Regions from separate parts of the Mus musculus genome. Here all the other regions are reported to be linked to region 1. The links are microRNA targets in miRTarBase. Many come from high-throughput screens and were not tested one by one. Region 1 holds a microRNA gene; each other region holds the end of a gene's coding sequence.

What was found. Region 1 holds the annotated microRNA mmu-miR-148a-3p (UCAGUGCACUACAGAACUUUGU, at 2,772-2,793, opposite strand). A microRNA usually pairs through its seed, bases 2 to 8, with sites in the 3' UTR of a target mRNA and lowers its output. Matches are read on the target gene's strand: a 7mer-m8 pairs with bases 2 to 8, a 7mer-A1 pairs with bases 2 to 7 and ends in A, and an 8mer does both.
Region 2: miRTarBase lists Ms4a15 as a target of mmu-miR-148a-3p. Seed matches in the 3' UTR shown: 7mer-m8 at 705-711.
Region 3: miRTarBase lists Ociad2 as a target of mmu-miR-148a-3p. Seed matches in the 3' UTR shown: 7mer-A1 at 1,833-1,839.

The regions. Positions count from the first base shown.
Region 1 is chr6:51,267,058-51,272,131 of GRCm38, forward strand. It overlaps Mir148a (microRNA 148a), which reads right to left and starts at 2,853; the gene lies at 2,755-2,853. Gm38821 reads right to left here. Exons shown (of 4, transcript XM_011241556.1): 2 at 4,150-4,353; 3 at 3,223-3,895.
Region 2 is chr19:10,974,727-10,979,800 of GRCm38, reverse strand. It overlaps Ms4a15 (membrane-spanning 4-domains, subfamily A, member 15), which reads left to right. Exons shown (of 7, transcript NM_001034898.2): 7 at 476-1,494. The coding sequence ends at 592. Among named protein-coding and RNA genes, the nearest start is that of Ms4a10, 2.6 kb to the right of the region's middle.
Region 3 is chr5:73,319,699-73,324,772 of GRCm38, reverse strand. Ociad2 (OCIA domain containing 2) reads left to right here. Exons shown (of 7, transcript NM_026950.4): 7 at 926-2,575. The coding sequence ends at 1,007. Among named protein-coding and RNA genes, the nearest start is that of Ociad2, 17 kb to the left of the region's middle.

The sequences.
Region 1 (5,074 bases):
ATCCACTATGCTCCCGACGACTGAGTTTCTGAGAGGCTGGAGAGATGGTTCAGTGGCTAAAAGCACATGCTGCTTGTGGTGGTTTGAATACACTTGGCTCAGGGAGTGGCATCATTTGAAGGTGTGGCCTCATTGGGGTAGGTGTGGCCTTGTTGGAAGAAGTGTGTCACTGTGGGTAGGGGCTTTAAGATCCTAGTTCTAGCTGCCTGGAAGCCAGTCTTCTCTTAGCAGCCTTCAGATGAAGATGTAGAACTCTCAGCTCCTGCACCATGCCAGCCTGGACACTGCCATGCTCCTGCCTTGATGATAATGGACTGAACCTCTGAACTTGTAAGCTGGTCCCAATTAAATGTTGTCCCTTGGTTGTGGTGTCTCTTCACAACAATGAAATCCTAACTAAGACACTGCTCTTTTCAGTTCCTGTCACCCATGTTGGGAAATTTACAACTGCTTGTAATTTCAGGTCCAGGGGGAACCCATGCTTCTGGCCTCCTAGGGCATTAATAATCATGTGCATATACCCACAGACAGGTAATTAAAGTAAGTTTAAAAGTCCTTAAGGAATATCTGAGTACACAGGGAGCTTCTAGAACTTTTTTTTTTAATTCAAGGTTACCCAAAATCCTGGAGTTTATCAACAAAAAACCCTGAGGTCCAGTGGCACAATGCTCTAATTCCTCACTCTGTGGGTATCTTCCAGAACCATGCCCACAGTTGCCAACCTTTGCATTTGCGAATAAAAACGCTTGTTCAGTACTGACAGGCAACTGGTGTCCATGACATACAATTCAGCTGCATCTTCAGTTATTTTACTGGAAATGAAGAAGGCCCTGGGCCATGCAAATTGGGGTGCTGGTGACAGTACCCTCTGGTTCAGCAAGCTGGGTTAAAATAACACATAGCCTTCCCCAAAGGCTGTTCCCTCTTCCCAGTCATGCTTAACACCCTTCCTGATGATGGTGGCATTGCCAACCGCTAACATGAGAATGGACTCCAGAATGAACCGGATGTCAGCCGATTTTGCTCACAGCTGTACCCTGGCATCTAACACCTGATGCTCAGTTGGTAACAAGGCTCTGGTTGCTCAATATCTAAAGTCAGTGGGAGTATGCCAGCTTCAGAGCACACCCAGCCTGCTGGTTTTCCTCGACCCTACTCCCAGCATGCACACCACTAGGATAAGCCACAAAGCCTTCCTTCCTGGCTGGCCCTTTAACCCGCTCATGGCCAAAGCAAGAGTTTTCACCAAATCATTTTTATAATGAGGTCAAACCAGGTGAACCCAAGTGAGGGATTCCAAACCTGGCTCTTTCTTGAAGGTAGAGTCCTGACCTAATCCTTTGCATGGATGGCTACTCTCCCAGATACTTCACCTTATCTGCTCAAAGGGCCACTGCATTCTCATACAAAGTTGGTTCTGCCTATTGTGAGAATTAGTAGTTTCATAGTATTTTGTGAACACATTCATTCACAAAAATCAGGAAAGAAACCCTCCTCACCAGGAAGCTTACCTTATATCTTAAATGAAAACAAAAAGAACCCGAATTTGGATCACTTTATTCAACTGCAAAAATAAGATTAAGCTACCTTTTGGGCAGAGAGTTGAAGCAATGAAGCTCAACAGTCACTGGTGGGAAGAAAGGAGACTGGGTGTAGCTAACAATCTCAGAAGAGCGCCTGGCTAGGGGTCCAGACAGGTGCCGCCAACTGGCAAGTCCTTCCTCCAATACTTTCCCATTGGCCCTTCCCCATTATCTCTACTCCAATAGGAATGTGCTCAGAAGTAAAGGCGGTGGATTTTCATTTTTTAGATCAAGACTTCCCAGAGTCACACTCCAGGAGACCTCGGGGCTTCTGAAGCATTCTACAAACGTTGCCAGGACTGAGCTGTCCCTAAGCAACAAAGAAGGCTTCATTCCTTTTTGCTCATCACTAGGTGTCACAGCTTGACATACATGTGTCAGGTTAGCGCCTTTGTTAATGACGGTTTTGTAATCCCTTGACTCTATTCGCTCTCCAGCCACACCCATAAACATCAAAATAGGGCAATGACCCGGGAGCAGGATACAGTTCAATGCCAGTCACTGCCCACTGTAGAGCGCACTATTAACTGCAACTGCCAGCCACAACCCACATTCCATTAGGGTCCAGGAGAGCAGTTTCTCTGTACAGTATCTCACAGCTCCAAAGTATAAACACTGACCTCATAAATGACTGTCAAAATGCCTTCTTAGAAAAGGTACTTCCTTTCCATTAACAACCCCCCCCCCAAAAAAAAAAAAAGAAAAGAAAAAAGGAAAATGAGATGGGCCTAAATCAAACTCAGAACTGAAACTAAATCCAAACCCAATCCTTGCAGGTTCATTTATCTAACAGGGCATTTGAGTAAAAGGCACATTACCTGTGGCTTTGGCACAAGTGCATTTCCTTCTCTTAGGGTACAGTTTGAACATACCAACACACTCATCAATAAACTTGTGGTCCTTCTCTCCTTGCTCAATAAGTGAAGCCAGACTATTTTAGTATTTTAAAAATAACCTTGAAAAATATGCAATCAGTCCACCAGGGTAAGAAGAAAAATGGGGGGGGGTAGTTACTTTATGTGATCTAACCCATTGACTTTAAAGGAGTTTTTCAGGTTCTTCACAAAGCCCTTGTGCCCCCTCTGGGCTGCCCTTCCCCCAAAGGAAAGGTGCAACGACGTGGCCAACAGGGCCACCAGCTTGGCGTCCAGGGCCCTTGCGGGGAGGCGGCGACCACAGCCTCTAGAGACAAAGTTCTGTAGTGCACTGACTTCTATCATACTCAGAGTCGGAGTGTCTCAGAACTTTGTCTCAAAAGACCAAACTGGCTGTCTTCCTCTGGAAGTTTCGTCCTGCAGGTGTGCTCCCTGCCATCCCGCCTCGCCCCCAGTGAAGGCAAAGAAGAATAACTCATTAGAAGCAATTTAGTCCAGGATGAGACCAATAGTGGTACGGATAGTTAATTATGGAAAATTACTGCCACAGTCAGCAGGAGTAAAAATCCAGTAGAAAGGGTGTCCTAAGAGACTCTGGTGGCAATGTCACAGCAAACGGACCAGTGGAATCACACAATGCCCCCTCCTTCCTACCTACTCTACACAAGAATCCATTGCCGGTCCAGCCCCCACCTCCTCCGGTCCTGTTACTAAACTTTGGCAAGAAGCTAATTCACTCAATCTAAGTTGCGGTAACTTTTTACCTTTCCATCTGGAAAGTTGGTGAGGGCGGGGAGGACCTCATGAGAACGAATTCCTGGAGCAGGGAGTCAAAGCCGGCGAACACAAGCCAGTTTCCCCGCAGATGGGACGTCCCGGGAAAGCCAGGCTTTTCGCGGCCTCCCCTTCCCCCAGCCATTCTCACCACACTACTCCGGTTATCCAGCTGCCCGCGCACAGTCTGGGAATCCGCGTCCACGCAGCCCTGGCCCCTCGGTGCCACCCACCCACTCTCCCGGTTTCCCTCTGCCTGCTGAGGCAGCGCCTCCGCAGCCGATCTGCATGCAGTCCACGACACAGGCCCGGCGCCCCTAGCCCATCCAGCCCGGACCACCGTGCGGGGTCCCGCACGCCTCCCCACACACTGCGCGCAAGCAGCTGTTGCGCGCGTGCAACAGGTCCGCAGAGCGCAGTCCCCATCCTGCCCGGTTGGTGCGCGTGGCCGACAGAACGCGGGGCCAGAGCTCCGAAGCTGCGGCCGGGGGTTGCATCGGCCTGTCTGGCCTGGCCGCCCTCCCAAAGGCCCCCCGCACGCCGCAGCCCGGCCCTCTGCGCCCCGGGCCGCTGAGCTAGGCTTCCAGTGGGCGCTCCGCTCCGCTCCCTTCCATCTTGACTTTTGCCGACGTGGAAATTTTGGGTTTGGAGACGACCTGCGCTCTTATTGGCTGCCGGCGGGCGGGGTCGGAGGTCACGGCTGCTCTTGCTATTCCGCGCCAAGGGGAGCCGCAAAACGGCTCGTGTCAAGTCAGCAGGTTCCCTCCGCCTCCTCAGGGTCACGTGCGCGCTGGGCGGGGCGGGGAACCGCCTCCTTATGCAAATAAACGACGAAGGGGCCCCAGGAGGAAGGGGGCGGAGCCGGCAGGCAGAGGGGCGGGGTGGGGGCGGAGCCTGAGCCGGGCGGGGTGCGGCACTCCAGGTGGTCACCTGGCTCCTAGTCCGGCTCCACCCGGCCTCTGGGTTCAGCCCTTTGTGGGCAGGCTGGGTAGACGTGGTCTCCATCCTGCCCGTGTGCAAGACGCTGAACACAGCTTTGCCCGCAGCCCCTTCCGCTAGGCCAGGCCAGAGCCCAGTTCGGGTCTGGGTCTCTGCTGGGTTGGGGAAGACGAGGCTGCCACCTAAGCAGAGTGAGAAATGGAAACCTTGAGGAGGACACTTTGGCTCCTCCCCCGGGGCTGAGTGTTACAAGAACTGAGAGAGGAATTCTCGGTAAGAGAATTCTAGAACAAAGCTAAATCAAGAATTCATCAAAGTTAAAAAGCCATCCTTTTGAATTAGCTGCCCATTGCCCACTGTAAGTAAGAAAAGGCCAACAGCTACCTGAAAGTATCAAAAATAGCAATTTCTTTTGTACCGCCTACAGGGACAAACCCAAAGGTCGGTCTGTCTGTCCTGACCCCTGCTGGACATTAGGCACGGGGGTGGAGGGCGTGGGGGGGGGGTGGAGCGTGGAACCTGGAGTCAAGGTCTCCTGCATCCGAAGGAGGTATAACTCAAGGTGCTCAGAATTGTCCATATCCACGATCTGTCAGTGGTTCCCCAAGCACGCATGGAGGAGGGCATGAAGGAAGGCGTGCTTTGTAGAAGAAAGGGATTGATGAGAGGCCACATGACTAGATGGCTTCCTTCCCTCCACCCTCCCCAAAGAGAAGACAGCAATGTCAATGTACAGGTAGAGCCCAGGTTATGGTGAAAACCACAGCCTCTGGCCACCGAGCTGCATCTTTTAAAACACAGATATTTCTCAGAACAGGCCTGGTTTTTCTTTGTGATAAAACGTCTGTATCATTTCTTTTTTCCATCTTAAGTGTGGCTGGATGATACGGAAAATGAAAGGTA
Region 2 (5,074 bases), not on the chromosome of region 1:
CATTTTTCCAGGGGAAAATAGGAGGCGGGTGGAAGAGAGTGGGAAGAGGGGGTTCTGATAGCGCAGAGGCTTGCCTGGAAGGAGAATGTAGAGGATGGCAGGTGCCATTTAAAGTTGGAGCAGGAGGATGAACTAGATTAAAGGAGCCCAGTGAGTGACTACTACTGTGAGAGCAGCATGTTCAGGCAAGAACTATAGAAGCCCCGGGTTCAGCAGAGACTATCCAGAGAGGAAATATCAGCTCACTAGCCCCTAGGGGAAATGAGGTTTTGTCTACTTTGCTAGCTTCAGTGTGTCCAAGTCCTAGCTCATAACTGACCCTAGAAAATGTTTGCTAACATGTCAGTTACACGATGCTTTTGTGTGAGAGAGCTGCTGTTCTCTGAATACCCACGGGGTGGCACTATTGCAACGCTCCCCGAAGACCGCAGAGCCACCCAAAATTTGGGATTTTTTTTTTTTTTTTTCTTTGCAGTCTGTGATTTTCCTACCCAATGCCTTTGGCACGGATTTCAACATCCCCAGCCCAGCAGTCTCTCCACCTCCTGCCTATGACAACGTGGCATATATGCCCAAGGAGTCATCAGAATAGATTACAAGTTCTGCAGGTTGAAGTCCAGGCTTCCCACTTTACCCAGAGCCTCTCCACCCTCACTTTGTCCGTTCTAAGGCAGCGGTTTCCCAGCGAGACTCTCCAAGCCATGTGCACTGTGTCACTGAGTGACATGTTCCATCCATTTCCTAGTTCCTCCAATACTGTCTTTCCAAAAAAGGCATAAAGCTGGTGTCCAGGGTGTGCCCATTCTCAGCCCTGTCACCTGACATAGACGTCCCGTACACTCCTCCTCAGTCCTCTGCTCATCGTGGGAAATCTTGGCTTCGCAGAGGTTTCGGAGGTTTGTCTTCAAGATCATTAAGCACGGAGAACTCAGAATGTTCCAGAATAGACTGGCATTTCAGAGGCTCAGAGCAAGGCTTGACCTCCAGGCTCCTAGCTCCGAAGATCAGCTCTGTCCTTTGTCATCTGCTGTTACATCTTTGGGATTTCATTTTCCCACCCGGAAACTAGAGTGTTAAACTACACCACATAAGACTAAGGCGTGATGGCGCACGCCTTTAATCCCAGCATTTGGGAGATTGAGGCCAGCCTGGTCTACAGAGTGAGTTCCAGGACAGGACAGTCAGGGCTACACAGAGAAACCCTGTCTCGAAAACCAAAAAAAAGCACCTCTTGGCTAAGCCCTGCATTTCTCTTCTCCACCCCGGAACCTCCTTCTCCTTATTTGTAACAGAAGATTGGCATTGACTCTGGCTCTGCCCACCTACTAGGACAGGAGGCTGCAGAGGAGACTGAACCACTCCATACTCCCCCAACCCTGCCTGAAAAGCAGGAGTGCCCCTGAGAGTCACCACTTCAGCCCAGTGTTCACAGGCCCTGACATATGGCTTGTATCATCTATACTTTGGAGAAAAATAAACAGCGTGGCTTAGATTTTAAGTTGGTCTCAATGTGGTGGCATTTGCTTTTTAAGTTTGGGATCTTCTGAGGGCTTAATCATGGTTAATCGGAGATTCAGGCAAGTACCCCCATTAAGAGCAGGCAGGATATGGTAACTTCTTACAGTTAGGGACATCTCCATGCCTTGAATTCGATGATGATCACATGGGTAATTGCATATGTGAAAATCAACTTGTGTGGAGACAGGGGAGATGACTCCGTGGTTAGGAACCTGAGTCTCTGTGCTCAGCATGCAAGTGAGAAGCTGGGCACAGTGACACGGGTCTGTAGTCCCAGCACTGGAGAGGCACAGAGTGGAGGAACCCATGGGCCTGCATGGCCAACAAATCTATCTGAATCAGTGAGTCCCAGGTTCCATGAGAGACCTTGGGTTGAAAGTTAGGATGGGCAAGTAAGAGAACAAAGGAAGCCTTCAGAGGCCTGAACTCGGCGTGTGGACGGAGGAGAACGCTAATGAGATTCCACAATACACGGAACTTACATACATGCTTGCCGAGTGCTGACATTAATCACGAGTAGGCTTTAACAAATACTAATGAATTCAAGATGTGCTGACTGTACGCACGTCAAAGTCTTACCAGATTTGCCCAGCCTCCCACCTCAGTCTGGTTCGGATGCCCCTTTCTTTTTTCTTTTTCTTTTCTTTTTTTTTTTTAAGATTTATTTATTATATGTAAATACACTGTAGCTGTCTTCAGACACTCCAGAAGAGGGCGCCAGATCTTGTTACGGATGGTTGTGAGCCACTATGTGGTTGCTGGGAATTGAACTCAGGATCTTCAGAAGAGCAGTCAGTGCTCTTAACCGCTGAGCCATCTCTCCAGCCCCCCAGATGCCCGTTTTCTAACCATCTAGATCGTCATTACATCATTAGCTTCATGCTTTTCCCACTGTTCCTTGATGTCATCTCCCATGATTCCCTTCCAACCTGTTCATATCTTGACTGAGTACTCAGAACCCACAATAACCACAACCAAGTTTATGCTGAGACAGACAGGAATAAGAGATCTCAAAATACCATCTGGGAACAGGCATTTCTGTTTCAGGACAATGAGCAAAGGTTCTGGATAAAAATCTGAGAGAAGAGGGCTGGAGAGATATCTCAGTGGTTAAGAGCACCGATGACTGCTCTTCCGAAGGTCCGAAGTTCAAATCCCAGCAACCACATAGTGGCTCACAACCATCCGTAATGAGATCTGATGCCCTCTTCTGGTGCATCTGAAGACAGTTACAGTGTACTTAGATATAATAATAAATAAATCTTTTTTTAAAAAATCTGAGAGAAAACCTAGTCTAAATAATGGCAGATATTTCTTCAATAATTTCTGTTGGAGAACCCTAGCTTGCCTAACCTCAGAGAGTTCTGTTTTTACATAGGATGAAGCATCGATCTATTATCAAATACCCAAGGATCCTAACTTTAATAAAGGAGAGAGATTTATTTACCTCGCTGTTCTGGAGATTGAAGGTCAAACGTTCACGTACAGTGGTGAGTCTGTCCTCCAGGCAGAGTCTAAAGGTGGCACAAAGCATTGCTCAACAAAAGGCAGGAAAATCATGCATGCGAATCTGATTCTTCTCTGTTTCTGATAAAGTACTAGGATTCATTTATGCCCTCATCCCCATAGCCTTCTAATCCTAATCACACCCCAAGGCTACCTACCCCTCAGTTTTCATCAGGTTGAGTTTCTGACTGATGACAAACAGGGTGGCACTTCAGTGCGAGAACTATAGGGGGCGCTCTCACTACTCCCAGGGGCTCTTACTTAGCTCCCTATTTGGTCATTCCACAGTTGTTGACTATACTTAATAATCAAAGGTGGGTGGGGCAAGGAAACAAATTCTTGGCCTTATTCCCACAATGAGTCAGTTCTGCTCAGAGCAGGTGGGAAGCTTTTTAAAAAGCTCGACTCTTATTTATTTCTTTAAACATCACTAGCTCTGCCTGCTTTTAATCATCACACAAATGAAATTATATAGTATGTGTGTATCTTTGTGTCTGACTCTTTTGACTGAATGAAATGTTAGAGATTTATCTGTAACATCTTATATTTTTATTTTATTATTTTCAATACTATAAACCTTTTGTTTTATTCTATCAGTTTAATTGATTTACCTGTTGATGGATAACCAGGTTAATTCCATTTTGGAGCATCGTCAATAACACTAACTTTAGTGTGTGCACGTGCCTCTGTGTGTGTGCACGTGCCTCTGTGTGTGTACACGTGGTCTCACACACACACACACACACACACACACACACACACACACACACACAGTAAGAAGACTGGAGAGACAGCTCAGCAGTAGTTAAGCGTACTGGCTGCTCTTCCAGAGGACCAAGGTTTGATTCCTCCCGAGCACCCACTTGCCACATGGCAGTTACAATTGTCAGTAGCTCTAGCTCAAAGGGATCTGACACCCTCTTCTGGCCTCTGAGAGTGCCAGGCACGCATGTGGTGCACAGACATGCATACAAACAAAAACAATTATACATATTAAATAATAAAATCGTTTTTTAAAAAAGAAAGAAAAGTAAGATAGAGAATAATACACACAAATAAACCAACATACACATATATACATACAAATTTACCTAACTGCATATGCTGCATACACTTTAATATGTATATTAAATATTAACAATTAAATGTGTATTCTCCGTCTTTAAAAACCAGAGGAAAAAGATAGAAAAAGCACAGTAGTTATCTAGTTCTGCATGAGACAGACTGGACAGCTTGAAGTTACACATTCTCATCTCACCATGTCCATGGTCAAGATCCAAACATGCCTTAGATATAAGTTCTCTGTAAGTCACATGCGCTGCAAGCTTGGTGGTGGCTGGACTTCACTCTCAATCAGGGCTTCCTGTTACTTGTGGTCACGTGACCATACCTTTTAAGACAAACACTACCATGCTTACACAGATGACAATACATCTGTCTGGCTTACCACCAGAGACCAAAGTCAAGCAAGAACTTAGGATGACCATGGCTGGTTTGAGGAGGGACACAAGGCCCAGGGCAGGGTCATTGTAACCACTATTGTGGATACTTTAACTTTCAAAAAATTAAAAGATTCTTTGAGGGGCCAGAAAGGTGTCTCAGAAGCTAAAGTTACTGCACAACCTGACAATATCCGTTCAGACCTCAGCACTGTGGAAAGGTGGAAAGAAGGAATCAATTTCACAAAGTCCTCTGACCTACACACACTCACACAGACACACAGACAGACACACAGACACACATCAATCACACACTCATATCAGCCACCCACATCAACACACACACACACAAATAAAAATTTGAGAATTTTAATAATCAACTCATTCAAATGCTGCCTTCACCAACTTGACAATGAACTGCTCCATGAACTGAAATGTCATCACTGCAACATTAACTGTCTCAGCTGTTAAAGGGAGACATAAGGAAGGAGACTCAGATCTTCACCTGCCCAGGTTTGGAAGCAGATGGTTTTGAAGGATCTAGTCCAGACATGCATCTCTGATTAGCTGGGAGTGTGAGCAAGGGGTGGGTCCCAGAAAGAAAAGAATCC
Region 3 (5,074 bases), not on the chromosome of region 1:
TGGGTTGCAAGGCCAGCGGGGAAGCATTAGTGTTTACTGACAACTCCAGAGTGGCTCCATCCTGGCAAAGCTGTGTTTTGGAGTCACCTTACGGTGCACTTGGCCCAGGATTCTGATGTGTGTAGGGAAAATAAAGAAAGGCAGTGTCAGCAAAGGAGGCATTGTGATGACTCTTGGTTTTGGAACAATGATGAAACCTACATTTTTCCAGAAGCCATACTTTCTGTTTCAGCTTTGCATTCTATAGCTGTTTCACCCGCCCGCTTCTGGCATGAAAAGCCCCACCGGGGCTGGCACTGGTGTAAGGTAACCCAAGGCTTAGCCCTGTGTGAAAGGCCACTACCCTCTCACCTCAGAGGCAGTAATACACGGCCATTTGCTTTTCTAACAAAGTCAAGGTATAACAAGCTCCAATCAATGTTGCAGTCCAAGAGGCGGTGTGTACTTATTGCTACTTTTTAGGCAAAAGTCTCATCGAAAAACCCCCATAGGCCTCTTCCCAGCCTAGGTCCTGAGCTTTGAGACTACAGAAGTGAGCCACTCACCTGGAATACTTTGTGATTTATTTATTTTTTTGTTGTGGTAGGAATCACTCCAGTGATTCAAGGTCAAAGAGTCACTGTGTTTAGCTTTTGTGTGACTCCAAGCACAAATACAACCATCTGTTTCAACATAAACATTGAATGGTATTTGGATAATAGTAAACTAAGAAACTATTATCCCACTTTAAAAAAAAAAAGGTGAGCTAGTGAACTATAAAATCAGACATTTCTCTGCATTGCTTACTGTGGTAAGATGAGCACTTAGGAAGATAGGAGATGGAAGACACACAGACAGACACAGGCAGACAGACAGACAGGCAGACAGACACAAGAGTTCCAATTGTCAAAGTGTGAGTCACCATCTGTTTCTGCTTCTCTTCTAGGCACTGCCTGCTTACCTGTGAGGACTGTAAAACCAGGCGTGGATTAAGCGAGAAGGCAGGGTCACAACCATCTGCTTCCTAAACTGAGTCTGTGGTTTCCAACCGTTTTTAAACCTCTGACTTTGTACACATTTAAAATTTCAAGTGTACCTTAAAATAATATACTTCTATTGAAACAGAAACCTGTAATTCTCTCACCCCTTTGAAATGCTTGCTGTAGAAGACTCTCGATTGACATGAGCGTGGCATATTCTTGGCTTCCTTGGGAGCTATCACACACTACACAGGAAAGAAGTTACACCCTGCCTTGCTTAGAGCTTCCCGGGAGATCTTTGAATAATAGCTTCTGGGTCTTCTCGCCCACCCCCACCTCCCCCAGTTCGCTCACTCTCATTTAATTTTAATTTTCAGCATTTTAAGTTTTCTGGTAGAGAACAGGAATGAGTGATGTGGAAGTTGGTTGGGAAGTCAAGACCCATAGAAAACTCATTGTCTATGGAACTAGAAATTCAGGAAAGGTTGTGTTTTAGTATTGGACGTCCATTCTGAGGTCTAGAGATGAGTGAGATCTGTAACTGGAAAGCATTTCCTGTGAAAGTGTCACCGTGAAACTGTCACCGTTCAAACCTAGGTGACCCACAGTGTGGTCAATGTGACTTGGTGGCTCATCACAATGGTGGAGCTATAAAAGTGACCATCATCTATCCATAGGTGACCTGCTTGGCCCATGGATCCATTCTCATGGTCAGCACTCAACAGTGGGTTCTTTTACCCATTATTAGTGGCCTCAAATAAAAAAAAGACAACTTCTTAACTTGGTCCCCCAGACAACAGCTTCCTGGAAGGAACACTGTAGGACTGAATTAATTAAAAAAATGAGAAACCCTGGGGCTGGAGAGATGGCTCAGCACTGACTGCTCTTCCAGAGGTTCTGAGTTCAATTCCCAACAACCACATGGTGGCTCACAACCATCTGTAATGAGATCTGATGCCCTCTTCTGGTGTGTCTGAAGAGAGCAACAGTGTACTCACATAAAATAAATAAATCTAATAAAATAAAATAAAAAAGAGAAACTCTGGGAACCTCTGGGATCCGAGGCAGCCAATACAGTGGTGTAAGTTGGATTCCTCCTCCAGCTAAGTCTAGTCATGGGAAGTTTGGTCCTCCCTTTTGAGAACCCTTTGCTTAATTTAAGTTAGCTGAGCACTGTGTGAAAGCTGTCCTTGCATCTTTGCAGCCTCTCAGGAAAATGCTTTGTCTACACATCACCATTTAAATATGGGGTATGTGGGGTGTGTGTATGTGGGGGGAGTGTCTGTGTGTGTGTGTGTGTGTGTGTGTGAGTGCGTGTGAGCACGTGTGTGCATGTGAGCACGTGTGTGAGCGTGTGTGTGCGCGCGCGTGTGTGTGCGTGTGAGCGCGTGTGCACGTGCTTTTACTCAGCACATCTGCAAGCCTAAAGCATGGAGGTAAAAAGGGAAATTTCACTAGAGGTGAAATTTCATTTGATGTGAGATATTTCATTTTGAACATCAAAAATATTTTTGTGTGAACACTGAACGAATTTGCCTGCGTTGATTTTTATATGACATGCCCTGTTTGACAGTCAATAAAATTCTATTTCTGAAAAATCACAAGGCAGAGCCAATACGCTGGCTTTTTCTTCTTTTGTTGTGTTGCAAGTGGAATTCAGGACTTTGTAAGTGCTAGACAAGTGTAGGAGGCACAACGGTCCCCGTGCTCCCAGGTAAGCACATGGAATGTTAATCATACATGGTTGTTCCATCAAAGGGAGGGAAACATACCATTATTTACCCAGAAGGCTGGGGACTGACACAGTTAATAATAGTCTAGTGACCTTTGCACTATGAGGCTAAGACCACACCAGATCCTCCCCCAGGTCCTTATCAAGGGGTTATTTTTTTTTTTTTTTTGCAGCCTATATATAGAACCCATCTATATGTAAGGTGTCACATGTAGTTAATCTATAGAATCCATGTTTATGCACGTGTAGTTTACAAAGAATTTCAATATAGTCACTTCTGATCTTTCTTTGGCTTCCTTTGTTCCTCAAGGAGATTTGTGTACACTTTATAGTGCACAAGTGATTGAGTTATCGCCAGGAACATTTTCATCAAATTGCGCTGTACTTAAATATATCTAAGACAAACTATGAAAGGCCAGACTCCCAAAGTTTGAACCAACACTGAACTTAGTTGTGTTGAACCAAACTACCTTCTCTTCCGTGGATGTTACTCTGCTGGCTGTGGTGGTGGCAGAGACATCTTCCTCACACACACTGCAGACAAGTGCTCTACAATAAACTACATCCCAGACCCTATTCTGGCTTCTCGAATACAGTTTAACTTTTGACTCTGACGAATAGAAGTTAGTGATTAAGATTACGCAGCTCTTGACATCAATTTAGCATTCAACACAGTCCCTTCCTCCATGACAGAAAGGTCCCTCTCAGGAAACAGTCAGTCAGTTACCAATCAGTCTCTGGCTACCAGGAAAAGAAGTGTCACCACCATCAAATAGAAACTCTTAAAAATTGTTGTCATCTTTATATTTCTCATTTAAACTGAGTTTATTGTTTGGGCTGTCTACTTTTTCCTTAGTGGATAATTTGTTCTTTGAGATGCTTAACAATGGTGATCTGTCTTGTAGAGGAATTTTAATGCAGCAATTGGCTGCTCCGGGAAGGGATCGCCTCCAAAGATGATCTAGGTCTATGTGATCTGGCTGGAATAACACACCTTCAATCCTTCTGGCTAGAATATAGACACATCCTTAGTACATACTCTATAACAATGACAGTAAAGTTAGTTGGTAGAAAGAAGTACCCATTTTGAAAGTGACTTCTACGGCTGGAGAGATGGCTCAGTGGTTAAGAGCACTGACTGCTCTTCCAGAGGTCCTGAGTTCAATTCCCAGCAACCACATGATGGTTCACAACCATCTGTAATGGAACCTATGCCCTCTTCTGGCGTGTCTGAAGATAGCTACAGTTCACTCACATACATAAAATAAATAAATCTTTTTTTTAAAAAGTGACATCTAATTGAGGGGCAGATGAAGTAACAAATCAGAGAAAGATTCTACAGAACGAGTTAAAGATATGCCCAATTCTCATGAGGGTAGGAAAAAGAGGTGACTTAGAGAGAGAGAAGTTGAATGCAGTGCAGTGGAGTTGAGTTTGTGCAATTCAGTGCAGGTTAGCAAAGGCAGTTGAAGCCACAAAGAGCCAGAAGATTAGAATATATTGCCAGAGTTAGTTTAAGAACAAGCAGAGCAGCCAGGCGGTGGTGGCACCCACCTTTACTCCCAGCACTTGGGAGGCAGAAGCAGGCAGATTTCTGAGTTCGAAGCCAGCCTGGTCTACAGAGTAAGTTCCAAGACAGCCAGGACTATACAGAGAAACCGTGATTCGAAAAACCAAAACCAAACAAACAAACAAGCAGAGCAGTGGAGCTACACAGAGAAACCCTGTCTCACAAACAAACAAACAAACAAACAACAACAAAGAACAAGCCAAGCAATTCCATGAGAAGCCCGTTTGAATCAGCTTGGAGAAGAGTTTGAGCTGGAACAGCTGAGTTGAACCAGCCACCAGAGTTCAGAAAGAACTAGAACAGAAGAGCTTGTTCAGCAGTGAGTGACCACAATTACATTTGGTAAATAAAAGCTACATTTACATTGGTGTATGAAGCAGTCCACGGGGAGAAACCTTCTGCTGTGGATCCTCAGTACCTGCTAGGAAGCAGGTACCTGGAGAAGTCTGCCACGGTGTTAGGGGCAGTGTCGCCATCTTTTAAACTTACCAATCACCAGCACTCACCATCCATTGGGCCATAAATTTGTGAAAGAACTTTCATGACAGGGGTTGGGGTGGGGTGATTGGATGACAAAAAGCTTGTCAAGGAACAGCAGGTCCCATGTGCAGAGATACACTTGCAAGAAAGTGAGTAAGATAAAGTGGTAAATGCTGTCCCTAGCCAGCCTCATCCAGAGACTTTCTTTCCCTGGAAGATAGAGCATAAGATGTAACCCATTATTGATGCTGCTCAGTTCAGTGTCCTGGTTAAGCTACTGAATGATGAAAATATCTTGAGTCAAAACTACACTTAGTAGACCTAGCTTACATA